5 linked regions of the Macaca fascicularis genome follow. The protein of the gene in region 1 purifies or fractionates together with the protein of each later gene. This does not show direct contact. Links are inferred from orthologs where the notes say so. Each region holds a gene or a part of one and is shown in the gene's direction. Other genes may lie near its edges. The genes, in order: ANAPC16, ANAPC13, CDC27, ANAPC7 and ANAPC2.

Region 1 (4,033 bases):
GTTGCCTGTCAAAGCAGTAAATTAATAACAACTTAACCAATATGGTTCTCAGACCAATATACTGCTGAGGGGAGGAATCCAGTTTCTACAGGCCACTGCCCAACAAAATGCACATCACTCACTGAGAAGCCAAGCTTCTGGTCACACCACTTAATGGATCCATAATTTAGGAAACAAAGGTTCCTTATAGGCTAGCTGAAGTTAAATTCAGCCAGTATTCCTACCACGTACAGCTTAGTCTTGAAGCCCAAAATACTGAAGAGTTCCAAAGAAAACAAGTTGATCCTTACTAAATACACTAACGCTCAAGCCAACGTGGACGCGGTGGCTCACGTCTGTAATCCCAGCACTTTGGGAGGCCGAGGTGGGTGGATCATCTGAGGTCAGGAGTTCAACACCAGCCTGGCCAAGATGGTGAAACCCGTCTCTACTGAAAATACAAAAAGTAGCCGGGCTTGGTGGCGGGCGCCTGTAATCCCAGCTACTCGGAAGGCTGATGTGGCACGAGAATCGCTTAAGCCTGAGAGGCGGAGGTTGCAGTGAGCTGAGATCGCGCCACTGCACTCCAGCCTGGGTGACAGAGCGAGACTTCGTCTCAAAAAAATAAATAAAATAAAATAATAATTGATTATTTGTGTGCTTACAGGACCAAGAAGAGGTTTTGTGAGAAATAACAACATAGAAGGTAAACCGACATGGATAGAGGAAAAGAGCACATCATTAGCAATAGTCGATGACATCACAACCCAGTGGTCTATTCCCTGAGGCCTCTAAAGTTCTCAATGAAAAAACACTTTCAAGGCGAAAGCTAAAAAAAAAAAAAGTTCCCCACAAAAGCAGACTAAGGTGAAAGTCGGGCCCTCAGAACAAGAGCTCCGGAAAAACAGGTAGTCGTCGCGGAGACAGCAAACGCAGCATCTACCTGTCCTACATGGCCCTGCGCTACGAGACTGCTCGGAAGGAAAGGCGGGAATAACCAACTTAACCCTGCTTCGAGGTGGTTTGGAGAGGAAGAGGAAAGCCGTGTCTTTCTGCAATATCGTGAGGGAAGCCGAGACCCCGAATCATCAAAGAGAAGGAGCAGAAGAGGACTAGGCGGCTGCAGGTAAACCAAGGTACGGCGAGGAGGCAAAGGAACCGGAATTCCTCTCCACGAGCGCGTTCTCGGCTCCCCTCCTCGCGTCTCCGCCCCGGCCACGCCCACCACGGCACGGGCGCGCGCACGCCGCCTTCGCCGCAGGCCCCTCCGTGGAGGCGCGAGCACGCCGCCGTCCTCGTCGTGGTGAGCGTGACCGCTCCGGCTGGTCCTGGGGGCGGGGCTGTAGGGGAAAGTGCTAAAGCCGCTGAGGTAAGAGGCCGAGGGCTGAAGGGCCCTGGGGAGCTTGGTGAAAAGGGAGTTAACCCTTAGGATCCTACCTGCAGGGACTAGAAAAATGGAGAAGGTAGGAGGAGAAACAGGAGACTGCTGTAGCAGACGTGCGACAGGAAATTTTCCCAGGCCGGGTTTGACTGAGTGCGCATGCGGGCCAAGGGGTGGCGCCTGCGCAGTGGGACAGCGCCGATGGCGTCGTTTCCTGTGGACCCAGCTGGGTGGGAAATGTGGCTAGGAGTTAGCTTGGGAGCCGCTGGTGTTCTGACCGCTCCCCTCTCTGGCCACTCTCTCTCCACGCCCACCCCACCCCCGGTTACAGCTGCGGCGTCTGTTTGGTTTGGGTTGTAATCCAGCTGTTTTGAAGTGGAACGATTTTTTGATGATGGAATTTAATGATTGCTTGTAATGATTTGCCTTTGTACTAGGGTAGGAACTTTTAAGGAATTACTCTTTTTAAGAAAATAGGCATATGTCTGTTAGAAAGGAAAGGAATTTATATTCATAAAACTATGAAGGCCGGGCGCGGTGGCCCACGCCTGTAATCCCAGCACTTTGGGAGGCCGAGGCTGGCGGATCACGAGGTCAGGAGATCGAGGCCATACTGGCTAACACGGGGTTTCACCGTGTTAAATACAAAACAAAATTAGCTGGGCGTGGTGGCAGGCGCCTGTAGTCCCAGCTACTGGGGAGGCTGAGGCAGGAGAATGGCGTGAACCCGGGAGGCGGAGCTGGCAGTGAGCCGAGATTGTGCCACTGCATTCTGGCCTGGGCGACAGAGGGAGACTCCGTCTCAAAAAAAAAAAAACTATGAATGCGAGGTCATCCCTGCCGTACATGAAGTAAATGTTTAAGCATCTTAGCTCGGACACAGCAATCTGTCCACAAAGCATCGTTACTCTCCTGTGAGGATCTCCACTGTCAGCCCCAACTTCCCTGACAGGGCCAAATCCCAGGATACTTCATCAGTATTTGTTCAACAGAACATTACTGAGCACCTCCGGTGGGCCTCTCAGACTAGTTGAAAATAGAGTTGTGCGAATAGATCTGCACAATGAGAAAAAAAATCCGTAATGAACCAATACTGATGACACCACGCTTGTCTATCTCCTGCATAACCTTTGCTGAGCCCTGCGTTCTGTCATTTGTTCTTCATTCATTCATCCGAAATGCTCAGGAAGCACTGTGGAAACACTGTGACCCAGGTTCTGTGCTCGGCATTGAGGGTAGAAAGACTTCGAAGGTGGCAGGATGTTTCTTAAGATCATGAACCTTAAAATGAAAGTGTAGGCCGGGCGCAGTGGCTCACACCTGTAATCCCAGCACTTTGGGAGGCCGAGGCGGGCCTGATCACGAGGTCGGGAGATCAAGATTTTCCTGGCTAACATGGTGAAACCCCGTTTCTACTTAAAAAAAATACAAAAAATTAGCCGGGAGTGGTGGCGGGCGCCTGTAGTCCCAGCAACTCGGGAGGCTGAGACGGGAGAATGGCGTGAACCCGGGAAGCAGAGCTTGCTGTGAGCCGAGATCGCACCACTGCACTCCAGCCTGGAGTGCTTAATAGAAGCACTTAATAGAGCGAGACTCCGTCTCAAAAAAAATAAATAAATAAAAATGAAAGTGTAAAGTGCTTAATAGAAGGTATTGGCCCTCCTCCTGAGCAGATTCTTTCCCCTCTGGGAGCTTGCTAACTCTGTTAGATGGAGAGAATTAAGACTTTTTCCATGAATTTTTTTCATAGTAAGTATGAAAAACTGGGATCTGCATAGGAAAAAACACTCAGGAGTAACTCTCCGTTAATGATTTTGAACAGCCAAGATTTATGAAGTGTTTACTAAGCCTGTAACCATTCCAAGTGTTTTACGTGTATTAATTAATCTTTGTCACACCTGTGTGAGGTAGGTGATGTTATTACAGGTTGAGTATCCTTAATCTAGAAATCCAAAATCCTCCAAAATTTAAAACTTGAGCACTGACGGGATGGTCAAAGGAAGTGCTTTTTGGAGCATTTTGAATTTTAGATTTTCGGATTTGGGAGGCTTAATCGTTACGTATAATGCAAATATCCCAAAACCTGGGAAAAAATCCGAAATCCAAAATACCTCCAGTCCCAAGCATTTGGGATGAAGGGTACTCAACCTGTTTCCCGTTTTGCAGATAAGACAACCAAGGAACAAAAAGATCCCGAAGTGGGAGGCGGACGCGGAGGTTGCGGTGAGCCAAGATCGTGCCGTTGCACTCCAGCCTGGGCAACAAGAGCGAAACTCCATCTCAAAAAAAAAAAAAAAAAAAAAAAAAAACAGAAGTTGCAATTTTTTACATTTTTGCCATCAGACCTTGGCAATGACCTTGAGCAGTACGATATAAATAACTCCCACATGCTTAGCGTTCCAATAATGGAACACTAGGCATAAATGGGTGAAATGATTTGTCCACAGTCTTGCAGCAAGTAAGTAGCAAAACCAGAACTCAGAGAGGCTTCATAATCTTACCCACTATGCTGCTTTACCTTGCACATGACAAATGACATGCCAACAAGCCATTGCTTCAGAATGTCACAGCAGATAAGCTAAAATTGTCTCTACACCTCAGTTTTATTTTTTCATGTATAAAATGAGGAAGTTGGGTTAGATGACTTTTAAGGAATCTGGTTTCTGTGAAATG
Region 2 (4,179 bases), on another chromosome or scaffold:
GGCCACGGACTGGTAGTGCTCTGCAGCCCCGGGTTTGGGGGCCCCTGGTTTAGAAGCCATAAAGGCAACAGAGATACCTGTTAAAGGATACTGTGCAATGTAATCTGCTAAATTTAGAACTGTAAGGAAAAATAGGGGCTAATCCCATAGCTATAGCTATGAGGGAACTGCTATAGATTAAAAGATGTCAAATATGCATCACCCAAACACAACAGGCAGATCCCTGTGGGATTTTGGTTCAAACAAGCTAACTGCAAAAAAGACATTTAAGAGAGAGTTGAAGAAATCGTAATCTGACTGGACATTGACATTAGAGAATTTTCATTAATTTGTGTATGTGTAATGACAGTAGTGTGGCTTTGCAAAACTGAAAGACCTAGCTCCTGACGGGGGCGGGCAGGGGACTAAAATAACATAAAGATCGGAAATTCAGTTCCTGAAACCTTGTGTCAATGTTGGCTTTAGCTGAATTCCAAATCAAGTTGACATTTTTTGAAAGCAGGAAGCAATGACAGAGTGGACTACTGATGCTGTCACCATCTGCCAGCACAACGTAAATTAGAACAGAAAGGACTAAGCAAAGGCATTCCACCTTTTAAAGAGAGAAAATGGCATCAGTACAATCAACATATACAATTTTTACAAACAACTTTTAGAGTTGCATCTACATACATTTTAAAAGGCAGTGTGCCTGTTTATAAATCTCTACCCCATTTTAGTTTCAGAGCCTTTTTTACTACCCTGATCACTGATCATGCCACAGTCAAAAGGCAATCTCAAAAATTAATCTAAAAATAGTACTGCATTCCAAATAAGAAAATATATATACTTTGTTTTACTATTAAGCTACAGCTAACAGAAATCTAATCAACGATCCTTGATTTTCTCTTACCTAAAAAATAAACGCAAGCACGTGAGGAACTGTATAAATACAGAGCATCTACCCTACAATACTGCTTTATAAAAGAATAAATTCTTTTAATAAGTTTAACCGGACATAAAGCTCAGGGAAAACTACTTTGTGCATATTAGTGTACGGTGCTTAAACTATACAAGATGACTAGTCTCTGACATCATACACATCTTTACTCTCCTGATGTCGTATACGACATAAAAAAAACCACATTATAAGCCTAAATGTACTGTCTTCAAGTATCTCCATGATTAAAGTGTTCCTAAGAAACCGTCCTTGTTTCTTTCTATCCCTGATCTGTGTGCATGGAGCAGTTAGTTCAGGGTTCTCCAATTTCAGTCCACGATTTCTGCCATAATTCCGTACCTGCTGTACTAAACATAACCGTTTACACCAACTCACTATTTTAAAAGCTGCCAACCTTAACATGCCACCCTAAATGAGCGGGTCCCCTTGTGCCGTGAATGAAGTAGTCCTAACAGCGCTAGCTAAACAGCAGCCCTGGCCGGGAGGCCGCACAGGGGTACCTCCGCTGAAAAGAAAGGTGGGTCCGCCGGGAAAGGTGAGTACTGGGCGCAGCTCGCCCGCCCACCTGGCTACTCTCCGAAGCGCCCCCAGCCACCCGGCCTCCGAGGAAACGCTGTGACCACCTGGCGGGGCCGAACCGCGCGCCGGGCTGCGCCATGCCGGACTACGCCGGTGTGCAGGGCATAGCGGGCCAGGCCGAGGGACGGGGCTCCGGGGCGGACGCGAGCCGGCGGGGAGGCGCCTGGTGGTTCGCAGACTGTTGCGCGAACCGGCCGCAAGCCATGAGGCCGCGAAGCCAGAGTCACCAAGGCAGCCTGGGCCGCCTCCGGACCAGGACGCGCTCGCCCCTTGCGCTTCCGTCTTGCGCACGGGCGGTTACACGGCTGCAGCAAGCGCATCCCTCAGCCTTCCCGCCGTTACCTCGGCCGTGCACTGCGCACGCGCGCCACCACTAAGCTTACGTCCAGCCTCAGCAGTCGGAGCGTTCGTTCCGCCCACTGCCCCCACACTTTTAATAATTGAATCAATGTCTGCTCCAGACTTCCCCTGCACGCGAGCAAATGGACTCACCCACATCCGGGAATCCGAGAAAGAGCGTGCAGACGCGTGATGCGGTGCGAGGCAGGAGGAAGCGTCTGCCGCGCTGGGCCGCGTAACGGTAAGGGTTTGCAGCGCCCCCGGCCTAGGTTTTGGAGGCGCGGGAATGCGTTCGTGGCTCAGTGTCGGACTTCCCCCTATTTCCATCGGCCGAGGCTGTCACTTTACGCTCATAACCGTTTTCTTTACTGCACGCTGTGTCGGGAGGAAAGGGACTTGCTTGGCACCCCAGACCTCCCCGTCTCCGCTTCCACGTTTGGTACATCCTGCGTCAGGCCGGAAGCCGCGGCTGAGGGGCGGCCTCTCGTACAGTGTGGTGGCCTGCGAGGCTCATTTCTAGCAAGGAACAATATTTTTCCCGCTTTGACCTTACAGATACATGTTTACAAAGCTATAATGTATAGAAATGGATAAGACATGTCCCTGTCCCGGGAAACGCAGGCACTGCGTGTCTGGAAAGACATACATCTGGGCTGTTTGACAGGCTACCTAGTTGGTGCCATGCTCTGTGCTTAGGGAACTATGAGATCCCCGGTGGGTACCGGGACCGCGCTCAGCCTGAGGTTTGGAGGCGGCCTCCTGCAGGAAGCGACTTGAGACCTGAGATTTTTAGACTGACTATGGGTTCGCTGGAATAAAAAGGAAGAAACAAACAGCATTGCAGGCATCGGGACTGTCACGTGTAAGAAAAGTTTGTTCAGGAAACAGTTGTCGTATTGTGTGACGAGTACTTGGGACGGTGGCTGTGCCTTGGGCGTTGATTATCTTGTTGCTTTCCATCCTTCCAGCCCCTTAAGAGTGAAGGCACCTTCACGCCTAACCCCGGAAATGGGATGTTGACCTCCAAGAGCTGACGCCTGCGTTGATCTTGAAAGGAAGAGTGGCATTAGTGATGTGGAAAGGGGGGTTTTAACTGTCAAGGCTGGAAAATGTGACAGGGTTTGAGGTGTTTGGAGAAGGGACAGGTGAAAAAGATTGAGGCCAAATTGTAGAAAGATCTACTAAGGAATCCTGGGTACAAAATGTACACATAACAGTTGGAGACAATAATACCTGAGCAATTGATCACAAAGCTTGTTTAGTAGATTTAAGTTAGGACAAGAAGCAAGAGTTCAAGGATAGAAGGCCTACTGAAGCTCGAGTGATCTGAGAAAACCTTACTAAAAGGTGGAAAACCTATGTGGGCCTGGGAAAGTCAGGTTTGGATCAGCTGAGGAAAGTGAAAAGGGTATCCCAGGAGACACAGCAGCAAGGACAAAGGAGTAGCAGCAGGAAAGTGGGGAGCTCTTATAAGACAGGGACTTCAAAAGTATAACCAAAACTTCGTCTTGCTTTGAGTTATCCACTGGGTAGTAGGGGGTTAATTATTGAGTACTGGATTAATTAAGCCCTCACCTGGCTCACCGGTGACAAGTAGCAGGGCGCGTTTTGCTTAAGTTTTGCCCAGATCTTTTAAACCCTTTCCTACACACCAATCTGTGTATAATTTTTGCCAAGGTGTTGGGGATATCTTGCAGTTATCCTATGGGGGACATCTGTGAGCCTTTTTTTTTTTTTTTTTTTTGAGACCAAGTCTTTTTTTTTTTTTTTTTTTTTTGAGACGGAGTCTTGCTCTGTCACCCAGGCTGGAGTGCAGTGGCCAGATCTCGGCTCATTGCAAGCTCCGCCTCCCGGGTTCATGCCATTCTCCTGCCTCAGCCTCCCGAATAGCTGGGACTACAGGTGCCTGCCACCACGCCCGGCTAATTTTTTGTGTTTTTAGTAGAGACGGGGTTTCACCGTGTTAGCCAGGATAGTCTCGATCTCCTGACCTCGTGATCCGCCCACCTCGGCCTCCCAAAGTGCTGGGATTACAGGCGTGAGCCACCGCGCCCGGCCATGTGAGCCATTTTTACAAAAACTTCCACCTGCCTTGGCCCAAACCTCAGCATTCTTAGGCACAGGAGCTCATGAACATACTGAGATAACACTAAAATGGACTATGGGAAGGGACCAACTACAGACCTGACACAAATCCTCAAGGCAAGACGATGTCTGAAGTTGACCTTGTAAAGGAAAAGGCTTCCTTCCTTAAAATAGCACCCAGGCTGAGCTCTGAAAAAAGCACCTCAAGATGGTGGGTTCCACCCCGCCCCCGCCAA
Region 3 (4,154 bases), on another chromosome or scaffold:
AGTACATATACAGTGACAAGAGAAGGCGGTGGAAAAAGATGCAGTGTAGCTCTGTCAGCCTTGTTTTTAAAAATGGAAGAAAAAATATCTCCCTCCAACATCACCCAAAGGGAAATTTCCAAGCAATGGAATATATCATGAGTCTCACATCTAGCCTAGAGAACTCCTGACTAGAAGAGTAACCTTCAAAAACCGTTTTTCTCTTCTGCTGAAAAACAAAATTTAAACAGTTCCCTAGTTCACTCTCCTTCGGAGGAGAGGAAGAGCAGAAAGGAAATACAAGAGAGTCTACATTGCGTGCTAGACACAGCCACACTTGTAATACATCAAATTCCCTTAATCCTTTTTTTTCAAACTAAGCAAACACAAGTTCAGAGAGGTTGTAATTTGCCAAGGACCTATGACTAGTTAGTGCTAAAGATACAATTCAAAATCAGGCCTCTGAATTTCCTACCCCCTACTCTTCCCACCACAGTGGAATGCCTCGCCTGTCAAAAATAAAAATTTCTAACGGCCTATTGAGTTTTTCCATGATCTCTTCACCTAAGTAACTATTTCCAATTAATGCCTTCTCAGCAGGCTGATCTCATTTTTCCTTCCTTCACTTTCCTATACTTATTTTTCCTCTGATTCTACCCATCCTTCAAACTCCAGTTTAAACTTTTTTTTCCTTCCATAAAACTTTCCTCATCTTAACACAATTTCCCTCTCTGAATTTTTATATTACTTATAATAGGCACCACATAATATAGCGTTCTCTGTTACACTGCTTTTCCCTTAAATAGACCTTAACCTCCTTGAGGACAGAAGCTATCCTAATATCTTTGGAGTGGCAATCTTTCCAAATTTCTTTAGCTTTCCCCAGAGCCGTGAGTAGATACTTCTGGAAAGGACGAATGATCTAAACTCAATAGACAAATACTTGTTGATTCATTAAAGTCTGCCCCAAACTCTGCTGTTTCACCCTTTGCTTTATAATCTACAGCACATCAATTAACCCAGAAGGGCTGAGTGGCGAATCCACCCTGCAGCCCCGCCACGTAACGCTCCCGGGCCGCTCAGTCACGCCACGCCCAGCCTGCTGGTTGCCGATTGGGCGTGGCCCAGCCCTGGGACGGCCGATTGGGCGTGGTGTGCGTGACTGAAGGCGTGGCTGAGAAGAAAACCTACGCTTTGGGTTAGACTCGGTAGTTTCCGGGAATCTTCGACAATTTCCGGCAACGATTTTTCTCTCTCGTCGACCCACCTCGGGTATTTCCGACCCCTTTCGGGCTTTTCCGTCTGGCTCCCGCTCGGCTTTCTCCACTTCGGGAATTTCCGTGTCCCGCTCGGAAGCACTCGGCAATCGCTCGGCCTCCCCCATTCCCCGGTAACGGTCGCTGGTGAGTTTAAATGAGCCGGGGCTGGCCGGGCCGGAGCCGCTACCGGGGGGGCCTGAGGCACTGCAGAAAGTGGGCCTAAGCCTCGAGGATGACGGTGCTGCAGGAACCCGTTCAGGTAATGATAACCCTCTTCTCTGAGGCTTGGCTTGCAGCCTCAGTCGGGAAGCAGCGTAGGGCCACTCCGCGGCCTGGTGCGGCCTAGGCCCGGCTGCTTCTACCGCCTCCCTTGCTGCCGAGTCCTGCCTATCTTCCGTCAGTTCGGAGGCCTTGCCCGCAGCCTAAGCCGTGTTACCTCTGGCCCTACGTTACTTCACCCTTAGTGTGAGCGGCTTCGGCGAGAATAACCGTCTTTCCCGTCCGAGCCAACGTCCGGCCAGCCCTTCCTGTCAGCCCAGGGGCCTGGCTTGACTGGGGTTGGGAGATGAGGGGCCGAAAACGCACCCCAGGCGCTCTCTTGCCTAAAAGATGATCGAGAAGCACATTTGATCGGAGCTTGTATGATCTTCGCGATGGTAGGGCAAGTTTGCGGAGGTTTTTTTATTTTTGTCTTATGTGAGAGAGTGGAGGGAGAGTAGGATCGGTATCTTTAATACTAATTTCTATTTTGGTAACAGACTTCCTCTCCCACGTTTCCTTTCTCGGTGAATTTCCCACCGGACAATGATGGTTTGAGAAGACAACTCCAAGCCTCAGTGCTGAGGTGCAAGCACCAATACCAGGGGAGGAGGTGGAAAGGGCATATCTGGGTTGTTTTCATCCTCTCTGATGGGGATCAGGAGCATTTTGTTGTGCATGTTTATAAGGCATTCAGGAAATGAAAGACAAATAGTGGTGTTTGTGTCTGTTTCACTGCCCTTACACCAAGGTATGCTTTGACGCACAGTGCTGTGTTGCATTAAAGGAACCCTATTGGATTTTAAGTCTGTGATGCAGTGCCAAGTCATTTTCCCCTCTGACATCTGGAGAAACTGAATCTTTTGTGCCTTGGTAATGGACCAGGTCTGGGAGACTTCCTCCCACCATGTGATCTTTGACTTGATCAGAATTGACTTCTATCAACCACTGTCATTGAGTCTTGGACTTTATTTTGAAGTTATAAAGCAAACCGATTTTTAGAAATTCCTTCATATTGCCCTTAAAAGGCTTGAGGTATCAAATAGTAAATATTTTATTATGTCACTGCTTTCATATTTATTTCATTTTTCTAAACAGCATGAAATACTCATTTCTTCTAGTTTGGCTTCTTCTCCAGCTGTTTACATATAGCAGCTATTAGTGTTTGAATTAATAAAACGTTAAGATTGTATCTTATGAAATTTTCCTGTCTGTAAGTTGTATCGGTTTTTCTAGAGCTATTTCTTTTTACCAGCATAGTTTCTTTTAAGGCTTTTTTTTATTCTGGCTGTAGATGAGGTAATTATATAATTTTTTAAGGCCTAACATGAACTTAAATAGATAAGCAGATTACTCAAGTTATTTAATTTCTGTTGCATATTCTTGTAATTTTGTTTTAATAATGATTTTTTTTTTTTTTTTTTTTTTTTTTTGCCTTCTCTGGCCCCAGAAGTCTTCTAAAGTGATAAACTAGTTGCACTGATAGACGATAACCACCATTTAATAATAATTTCAGACTTTATAAAAGCATGGAAGGCCGGGCGCGGTGGTTTACACCTGTAATCCCAACGTTTTGGGAGGCCGAGGTGGGTGGATCACCTGAGGTCAGGAGTTCAAGACCTGCCTGGCCAACACGGGGAAACCCCGTCTCTACTAAAAATATTAAAAAATGAGCCGGGCGTGGTGGTGGGCGCCTGTAATCCCAGCTACTCGGCAGGCTGAGGCAGGAGAATTGCCTGAACCCAGGAGATGGAGGTTGCAGTGAGCTGACATGGTCCCGCTTCTCTCCAGCCTGGGTGACAGAGTGAGACTCCGTCTCAAAATAAATAAATAAATAAATAAATAATAAAAGCATGGAAAAGAAAAGGAATATGTATCCTATTTCTAGATAGTACCCATTAGGTTTCCTATTTGCCCTTAAAGTACTCTTAGCAGTAACACACTTCAATATTTTTAAGGCTTAAATGTCAAATTTGCTTCTTTTTCATACTAGCATTGTCCATTAGATTTTTGAGATAGTGGTAGAAAGTTTTAGGATATAACTAGGTAAAAATTTTGGTTGTATAGTATAAGAAGAAGCCATTCAAGAAGGGATTTGGAGCAGTGAGAAGAACAAGCAACTTTAACTACAATGATAAAGATCAATGATCAGGGATAGTGCTGCAAATGGGAAAGAATTAGGAAGAGAATAAAAATAGGACAGACACATAAGATACTGTCTTTATTTAAAAAAAAACAAAAACAAAAAACTATGATGACTGATTGCATGTATTTGGAAAGCAGTGAGAGTAAGTTGGAAAATTGTTCTTTCTTGGAATGCCTCAGAGTTGATGGTATTACTAGGCATAGGAAGAAGTTCACAGAAAAGATGAACAACTGTTTTCTGCATTTTTTTTTCTTTAAAGTTTTAACGTAGAATGGCCAGGCTGATATACCATATATGCCTAAATTAAAACTCCATCTCAAATTACCACTTCTCAGAAGAGTATTACTTTATATTTGAGTCCTTATAAAAGTCTCAAATATGAGGCAGAAGTTCTGTCAGTTCCTTTATTTTTAATAGTAACTATTTGGAAAGACACACTAGGCTAAGTGACTTCAGTGAGAGCTTTTTGGAAAAGTCATCTGATGAAATTGGTTTTTTAAAAAGAAGCAAAG
Region 4 (2,943 bases), on another chromosome or scaffold:
TCTAGGAGCCAGGCCAGGCACGGTGGCTCATACCTGTAATCCCAGCACTTTGGGAGGCCAAGCTAGGCGGATCACCTGAGGTCAGGAGTTCGAGACCAGCCTGACCAACATGGAGAAACCCCGTCTCTACTAAAAATACAAAACTAGCCGGGCATGGTGGCGCATGCCTGTAATCCCAGCTACCCGGGAGGCTGAGGGAGGAGAATCACTTGAACCCGGGAGGCGGAGGTTGCAGTGAGTGGAGATGGTGCCATTGCACTCCAGCCTGGGCAACAAGAGCGAAACTCCATCTCAAAAAAAAAAGACCCTAGGAGCCTTCCATCTTAAACCTAGCCCTGCAGGTGACCGAATGCAGCTGGAGAATAACAGCTTGTTAAGAGGCAGCAAAACCTTGGGTTTTGTTGGGAACATCATCTCTCACTACTTTGATCTCTTGGCCATATGACAAACTAATCATTAGTGTCGCATTTATTCTTCCAGCGGTCAGATGGGGTGCTCACATGCTGTGAGTTCCTTACATGTGCTTGTTTCCTTCCCTAAACTGAAGGTGCCTTTGAAGGCAGTCTTTTTCCACATCCATCAAGTGCTCTGGGGAAGAGCACTTCTTAGCTATTCCATCAACACACTTGCCTGTCTAATCCCACCATCAGTTTCCCCTGGCCTGCCGTTCGTCTGAAACTTTGAAGGTTAGCAATTTGGAGAGCTGTCAGAGTGGAAGCATGGGTTGAAGTGGTAATGGCATTGAATGTCTTAATGTGTTTTACTTTTTTCAGGTCTTATCGAGTGTTACTTAGCCTCCAACAGTATTCGAGAAGCAATGGTAATGGCTAACAACGTTTACAAAACTCTGGGAGCAAATGCACAGACCCTTACCCTTTTAGCCACCGTTTGTCTTGAAGACCCAGTGACACAGGAGAAAGCCAAAACGTTATTAGATAAAGCCCTGACCCAAAGGCCAGATTACATTAAGGCTGTGGTGAAAAAAGCAGAACTGCTTAGTAAGTGTGTCTTATTTTCTGCCCTATTCATCATTAATTTTTATGAAACCTGACCTCATTGGACACCCTTGTCCCAGCTAGTTACAGATGACCAGACAGGTGTGTGTGTTTTGCAGCAGGTCTGAGCCTGCTTGGATTGGTTTATATTTAGCCCAACCAAATGTAGCTGGCTTAGACCTGCTTGGCTTGGCTGTAGCCACCTATAATTGGTTGGTATCTGTTTGGCTCACTTTTTTTTTATTTTTTATTATTATTTTTTTTTTTTTTGAGATGGAGTCTCACGCTATTGCCCAGGCTGGAGTGCAGTGGCGCGATCTCGGCTTACTGCAAGCTCCGCCTCCTGGGTTCACGCCATTCTCCTGCCTCAGCCTCCTGAGTAGCTAGGACTACAGGCACCCGCCACCGCGCCCGGCTAATTTTTTGTATTTTTAGTAGAGACGGGGTTTCACTGTGGTCTCGATCTCCTGACCTTGTGATCCGCCCGCCTCGGCCTCCCAAAGTGCTGGGATTACAGGCTTGAGCCACCGCGCCCGGCCTTTTTTTTTTTTTTTTTTTTTTTTTTTTTTTTTTTTCTTTTTTTTTTTTTGAGACGACCTCTTGCTCTATCACCCAGGCTGGAGTGCAGTGGCGCAATCTCAGCCCACAGCAACTTCCGCCTCCCAGGTTCAAGCGATTTTTCTGCCTCAGCCTCCTGAGTAGCTGGGTCTACAGCCATGCACTACCACACCCAGCTAATTTTTTTTCTTTTTTTTTTAGTAGAGACAGGGTTTCACCATATTGGCCAGGCTGGTTTCGAACTCCTGACCTCGTGATCCACCCATCTCGGCCTCCCAAAGTGGTGGGATTACAGGCGTGAGCCGCTGCGTCCAGCCTTGGCTCACTGTTATCTGGTTTGAGTTGTCCTGAATTAGTTTGAGCTGAATCTAACTAACTGGTTTTAGCCAGTTTGAACTGTTTGGTGCTATCTGAATTATTTTATGACTTCTCATTTGGCCCTGTTTTTTTTTTTTTTTTTTTTCAGTCCTGATTTATGATGAACTCATAATTTGGTTCATTGAATTTGGGCTAGTTGGCAAATGCAATTTGGCTTTTTAAAGTTAAGAGCCCATTAAGGCCGGGCGCGGTGGCTCAAGCCTGTAATCCCAGCACTTTGGGAGGCCGAGGCGGGCGGATCACGAGGTCAGGAGATCGAGACCATCCTGGCTAACACGGTGAAACCCCGTCTCTACTAAAAATACAAAAAACTAGCCGGGCGCGGTGGCGGGCGCCTGTAGTCCCAGCTACTCGGAGGCTGAGGCAGGAGAATGGCGTAAACCCGGGAGGCGGAGCTTGCAGTGAGCTGAGATCCGGCCACTGCGCTCCAGCCTGGGTGACAGAGCAAGACTCCGTCTCAAAAAAAAAATAAAAAAAATAAAGTTAAGAGCCCATTTAAAACATTGTAATTCAAACTGCAGATTTCTTAACTGAATAGGACATCAGGTGTGCTTGCCCTCGCTTTGTGTTGCACCGGTGTTATCTTGAGGATGTCTGCAAAGAGATTGTCAGAATGGTAGTTGTGTTTTTTTTGTACGTGACTTAAGATGGGAATATATTTTCAAAATGTTCAAGTAGGACAGTGAGGGTCTTTTTTATTCCACCAGGCAGAGAACAGAAATATGAAGATGGAATTGCTTTGCTGAGGAACGCACTGGCTAATCAGAGTGACTGTGTCCTGCATCGGATCCTAGGAGATTTCCTTGTAGCTGTCAATGAGTATCAGGAGGCAATGGACCAGTATAGTATAGCACTAAGGTAGGCACTAGCCTCCCTTGGGGGAAGGCCACTGAGGAGGGTAGAGGAGGCAGTGAGCTGCGTCACAGGAGTTATGGAGTTATGGAAACACACACACACTTTGTGTCCATGGTTGAAAGCAGAATAATAATAGTAATGGTAGAGGAGTTATTTG
Region 5 (4,050 bases), on another chromosome or scaffold:
AAAGTCTGGGAGCTCTCCAGAATCTGGGGCCAGAGAAGTGAGGAAGTTGTTACTGTTCACCTGCTGGGAAGTTCCTAAGCCCCAGCTGTCCTCACACTCAGGTTCTGGGACCTGGCTGTGGGTGCTGTAGCCAAGGGATCCTGTGCGGGGGAAGGCGGAAGCCCAAGGGGACTGGCAGACGGGGTAACAGGGCCCTCTTCCCTCCTGAATCTGACCCAGAACACTTCCTCCCCACCCTCAAAGCCAGGCTGGGTTAGCACTGGCCCAAGACGTGGCTCTTCACACTCTAAGCAGAAAGAACCACATGGCTAGCGAGAACCGGATGAAGACCAGGACCCAGGATGCCCCAGGTCCCCCAGACAGCCCCACGGTCACTCCCGCAGCAGCCTGGGTTCCTCAATGGGCCTGGCCACGCTGCTCCTGCCCGACATGTCAGCGAGGCACAGACTGCCCACAGCTGGGAGCCCCAGACGGTCCTGACGCCCTGCCGCGGCTACACCCCTGCCGCGGCTATCCCCTGATGCTCCGCCTGGCCTCCCGAGCTCCACCTTGAGGTAGGCGGCCTCCGTCTCCGCGATGGTCCGGTCGAACTCGTTGCGAGAGGCAATCTTGCGTGCCAGGTTCTCGTTGACGCGGGCCAGCTTCTCCGTCAGCTGCCTCACCTCATTCTGCAGCCGCTGCTTCTCGTCCTCCTCCTCCTGGATCTGCCGGCACAGCTCTTCCCGCTTCTGGCACAGCTCCTCTATGCCTGGGGGGCCAGGAGGGGCGGGGCTGTGGGCCCAGGGCAGGAGCGCGGCGGCGGAGGGCGGGCCTCCTTCCACCCGAGGAAGCCAGAGTCAGGCACCACCCCCGAGCACCCGGCGCGGGGCCTGCGAGCCAACGAGGGCTCGGGGCCACGGACACCCAGCCCCCGGCACGGAGGGCTCTGCTCAGCTGCGCGATGCCCGCAACTAGGCGGGTCCAGGGGCACCCCGCTGCGAGCCGGGAACCCGGCCCTGCGGCCCTCCCGACCTCCCCGTCCCGGCTGCGCCGCTCACACTTGACCAGCTCGTTGTTGTAGTTCTGCAGCGCCGCGCCCTGCTGGGTCATGGTCTACGCCGCCCGGGGCCCCGCCACCCCAACCGACGCGGAACCAGCGCTGTCCGCGCCTGCGCACGACTCCCTGACGGCGCGCCGAACTACGCGTCATCGCTGAGCGCCTTGTGCGCGTCATGGCTGCGCGTGCAGACTTGCGTCATCGCTTTGCGCCGTGCCGAGGGGATCTCGGAGCCGGTGGCTGCAGATGGCGGCGGCAGTTGTGGTGGCGGAGGGGGACAGCGACTCCCGGCCCGGACAGGAGTTGTTAGTGGCCTGGAATACCGTGAGCACCGGCCTGGTGCCGCCAGCTGCGCTGGGGCTGGTGAGGCCTGGGAAGAGAGCGGCGGCCCCGCGCGGAGTTTCCGGGACCCTATGCACTTTGGGGCGGCCACCTTCGGGTTCATACAGCTCTGTCCGTCATCCGCCTCTGCCCTGTCCTGCCGCTTTCCACCGCCATTCCACTTCATTTCGTTCAGCTCCGCTGGCAGCCCTTCCCTAGTTTCGGCCCAACGTCCGGACACCACGGACAGGGGGCAGCGGAGTTTTTGCAGCCTACCCCTCAGCTTCTTCCCTTCCCCGCCTCTCCCCACCTCTATGTTGTGTTCCCCTCGCTTCACGGTTTTCTGCGCTCCAGGTGTCTTCCCGGACCAGCGGTGCAGTCCCGCCAAAGGAAGAGGAGCTCCGGGCGGCGGTGGAGGTTCTGAGGGGCCACGGCCTGCACTCGGTCCTGGAGGAGTGGTTCGTAGAGGTGCTGCAGAACGATCTGCAGGCCAACATCTCCCCTGAGTTCTGGAATGCCATCTCCCAATGCGAGAACTCTACGGATGAGCCCCAGTGCCTTCTGCTGCTCCTTGACGCTTTTGGCCTGCTGGAGAGCCGCCTGGATCCCTACCTGCGTAGCCTAGAGCTGCTGGAGAAATGGACTCGCCTGGGCTTGCTGATGGGCACTGGTGCTCAGGGGCTGCGAGAAAAAGTCCACACTATGTTGCGCGGAGTCTTGTTCTTTAGTACCCCCAGAACCTTCCAAGAGATGATCCAGCGTCTGTATGGGTGCTTCTTGAGAGTCTATATGCAGAGTAAGAGGAAGGGGGAAGGGGGCACAGACCCGGAACTGGAGGGGGAGCTGGACAGCCGGTATGCCCGTCGCCGGTACTACCGGCTCCTGCAGAGCCCGCTGTGCGCAGGGTGCAGCAGTGACAAGCAACAGTGCTGGTGTCGCCAGGCTCTGGAGCAGTTCCATCAGCTCAGCCAGGTCTTGTGAGTAGTCTGTCCTGATGGCCGTGCTCTCGCTCCTACTGGTTGCTCCCCTGGGTCCAGCTGGCCTCTGCAGAAAGCTGGTGAGCCGTCCTGATAACCAGGAACATGACAGAGAGAGAGTCCCTGGGGTTCCTGTGCAGTGTGTCCTGGACACAGGTGTCTCTCTTCTGTCACTCACCTGCAGTCCCACGGATTCATGCCTTGCCCATGGTAAGGCCCTATGTGGCTTTTGTCTGCAGCAGCAAATTTCTTAGCGACTCCAAACTTTCTGAACTCTGCAGAATTCCACTGTGACTTTTGTCGACCCTGAGGCAAGGAATGATTCTCACCCTCGTCGACATTCCTTGCCCTGTAATTGTGAACAGAAGCCTGCTGCTGCTTCTCTCCAGGGAGATCAGGTCACTGTGAGGGCAAGTGGTCTCCTGTCTGGTTCTCTGGAGAGGAGAGGGTTTTGTTGTGAGAGACAGGTCCTGTTGTAGTCCTCTAGCAATTGTCACACCCTCGGCCATTTGTGGTGGCTTTGTCACATTGAACAGAGGTATGGCCACGCAGCTATTTGAGAGGTCTTAGGTGGACTAAAGGAGTGGTCCTGTTGCTGGCAGAGGTCAGGGTGACCATGAGGGGCTTCTGTTGGGCTCATCCCAGCAAAAGTTACACAGCAACCTTTCTCATTCTCCTCTGGAGTCTTTTTGCCACTGTAGACCACAGACTGCACTGAAAGGCACAAACAGTGGCATCTGTGTCTCTGGGGCCAGGGCAGCGGTGCAACTGGGTGTCGTTTCAGAGTTGATCCTAGGAGATAAGGGTAGGGCCCCTGACAGCCACACCTGCTGCCACTGATCACATGGGGAAGTCCAGTGTCCCTACCTGGTCAGAGGCCAGCTGGGTGGGGACAGCAGAGCCTGGGAGTGCTCTGTGCTCCGAGTGGCTTCTTGAAGCCTTTGGTACCAGCGCTCCAGGCCAACCAGGCAAGGAGAGTGGCTCTGTGCTGTCCTGGCCTTTCCCCTGACAAGGAACAGACACTCCCCAGGGCTGTTCAGTGGAGAATGTGTTGGATTGAGGACCTTGACATGGCTGCCTGGAAATTCCTCAGGGGTCGCAGAGGCCCTGGTTCGGGGCTGGCAGGCACAGTGGCCCCCACAGCTGAGGATTGTGGGGAGGTGCGTGCTGGTTGTGGGGGTGTGCGTGTGTGTGCTGCATGCACTCTACAGGCAGGACCGTCCTGGCATGGGGCTGTTCTGGGCTAGAGGGGCCGGTGTGTGCTGTGGGTGCCCCATGGCTAGGACTCTCCTCTAGACACAGGCTCAGTCTGCTGGAGCGGGTCAGTGCCGAGGCTGTGACCACCACCCTACACCAGGTGACCCGGGAGAGGATGGAGGACCGTTGCCGAGGCGAGTACGAGCGCTCCTTCCTGCGTGAGTTCCACAAGGTGAGGGCCCCTCCTTTGGGCTGTGCCCCGCTGGGGACAGGGGAGTAGGTTTCTGGCAAACCTGACACCTGGCTTTGGAAGCATCCAGAGCGTGGAGGCCTGGGTTGGCCTGGACCGGGTGGTGGCTGGAGCTGTTTTGATGTCGGGTAGAGACCAGTACTTCTGGGCCCTGGTGACAGCGAGGACACATCTGAGGTGCGCTCACCAGATCTGCTCAGAATCCCATGGCTGCAGTCAATACCGGGCCAGGGTCCCCAGGGGCTGCCCCAGGCAGGTGTGACGAAGCC

What was found.
Region 2: the proteins of ANAPC16 (region 1) and ANAPC13 purify together in Homo sapiens (affinity purification with mass spectrometry; 3 studies listed by BioGRID and IntAct, counting the BioPlex papers as one, with this or other methods). This does not show direct contact. The link is inferred for Macaca fascicularis from reciprocal best matches to the Homo sapiens genes ANAPC16 and ANAPC13.
Region 3: the proteins of ANAPC16 (region 1) and CDC27 purify together in Homo sapiens (affinity purification with mass spectrometry; 10 studies listed by BioGRID and IntAct, with this or other methods). This does not show direct contact. The link is inferred for Macaca fascicularis from reciprocal best matches to the Homo sapiens genes ANAPC16 and CDC27.
Region 4: the proteins of ANAPC16 (region 1) and ANAPC7 purify together in Homo sapiens (affinity purification with mass spectrometry; 6 studies listed by BioGRID and IntAct, with this or other methods). This does not show direct contact. The link is inferred for Macaca fascicularis from reciprocal best matches to the Homo sapiens genes ANAPC16 and ANAPC7.
Region 5: the proteins of ANAPC16 (region 1) and ANAPC2 purify together in Homo sapiens (co-immunoprecipitation; 5 studies listed by BioGRID and IntAct, with this or other methods). This does not show direct contact. The link is inferred for Macaca fascicularis from reciprocal best matches to the Homo sapiens genes ANAPC16 and ANAPC2.

Annotation. Positions count from the first base shown.
Region 1 is NC_088383.1:74,199,917-74,203,949, reverse strand, and holds the start of ANAPC16 (anaphase-promoting complex subunit 16), read left to right. Parts: upstream 1-1,227; 5' UTR 1,228-1,282; exon of another isoform or gene 1,283-1,507; intron 1,508-3,526; exon of another isoform or gene 3,527-3,818; intron 3,819-4,033. UniProt on the Homo sapiens protein: Component of the anaphase promoting complex/cyclosome (APC/C), a cell cycle-regulated E3 ubiquitin ligase that controls progression through mitosis and the G1 phase of the cell cycle.
Region 2 is NC_088376.1:37,392,884-37,397,062, reverse strand, and holds the start of ANAPC13 (anaphase-promoting complex subunit 13), read left to right. Parts: upstream 1-1,368; 5' UTR 1,369-1,475; intron 1,476-1,505; coding exon of another isoform or gene 1,506-1,839; exon of another isoform or gene 1,840-2,011; coding exon of another isoform or gene 2,012-2,185; exon of another isoform or gene 2,186-2,720; intron 2,721-4,179. Other genes in the region: CEP63 (centrosomal protein of 63 kDa), read right to left, coding at 1,564-1,839. UniProt on the Homo sapiens protein: Component of the anaphase promoting complex/cyclosome (APC/C), a cell cycle-regulated E3 ubiquitin ligase that controls progression through mitosis and the G1 phase of the cell cycle.
Region 3 is NC_088390.1:68,162,513-68,166,666, reverse strand, and holds the start of CDC27 (cell division cycle protein 27 homolog), read left to right. Parts: upstream 1-1,347; 5' UTR 1,348-1,470; coding exon 1,471-1,497; exon of another isoform or gene 1,498-1,724; intron 1,725-4,154. UniProt on the Homo sapiens protein: Component of the anaphase promoting complex/cyclosome (APC/C), a cell cycle-regulated E3 ubiquitin ligase that controls progression through mitosis and the G1 phase of the cell cycle.
Region 4 is NC_088385.1:117,249,530-117,252,472, reverse strand, and holds part of ANAPC7 (anaphase-promoting complex subunit 7), read left to right. Parts: intron 1-773; coding exon 774-998; intron 999-2,638; coding exon 2,639-2,789; intron 2,790-2,943. UniProt on the Homo sapiens protein: Component of the anaphase promoting complex/cyclosome (APC/C), a cell cycle-regulated E3 ubiquitin ligase that controls progression through mitosis and the G1 phase of the cell cycle.
Region 5 is NC_088389.1:2,128,418-2,132,467, forward strand, and holds the start of ANAPC2 (anaphase-promoting complex subunit 2), read left to right. Parts: upstream 1-1,239; 5' UTR 1,240-1,282; coding exon 1,283-1,399; intron 1,400-1,711; coding exon 1,712-2,334; intron 2,335-3,630; coding exon 3,631-3,763; intron 3,764-4,050. Other genes in the region: microtubule nucleation factor SSNA1, read right to left, coding at 1-23, 549-748, 1,038-1,089. UniProt on the Homo sapiens protein: Together with the RING-H2 protein ANAPC11, constitutes the catalytic component of the anaphase promoting complex/cyclosome (APC/C), a cell cycle-regulated E3 ubiquitin ligase that controls progression through mitosis and the G1 phase of the cell cycle.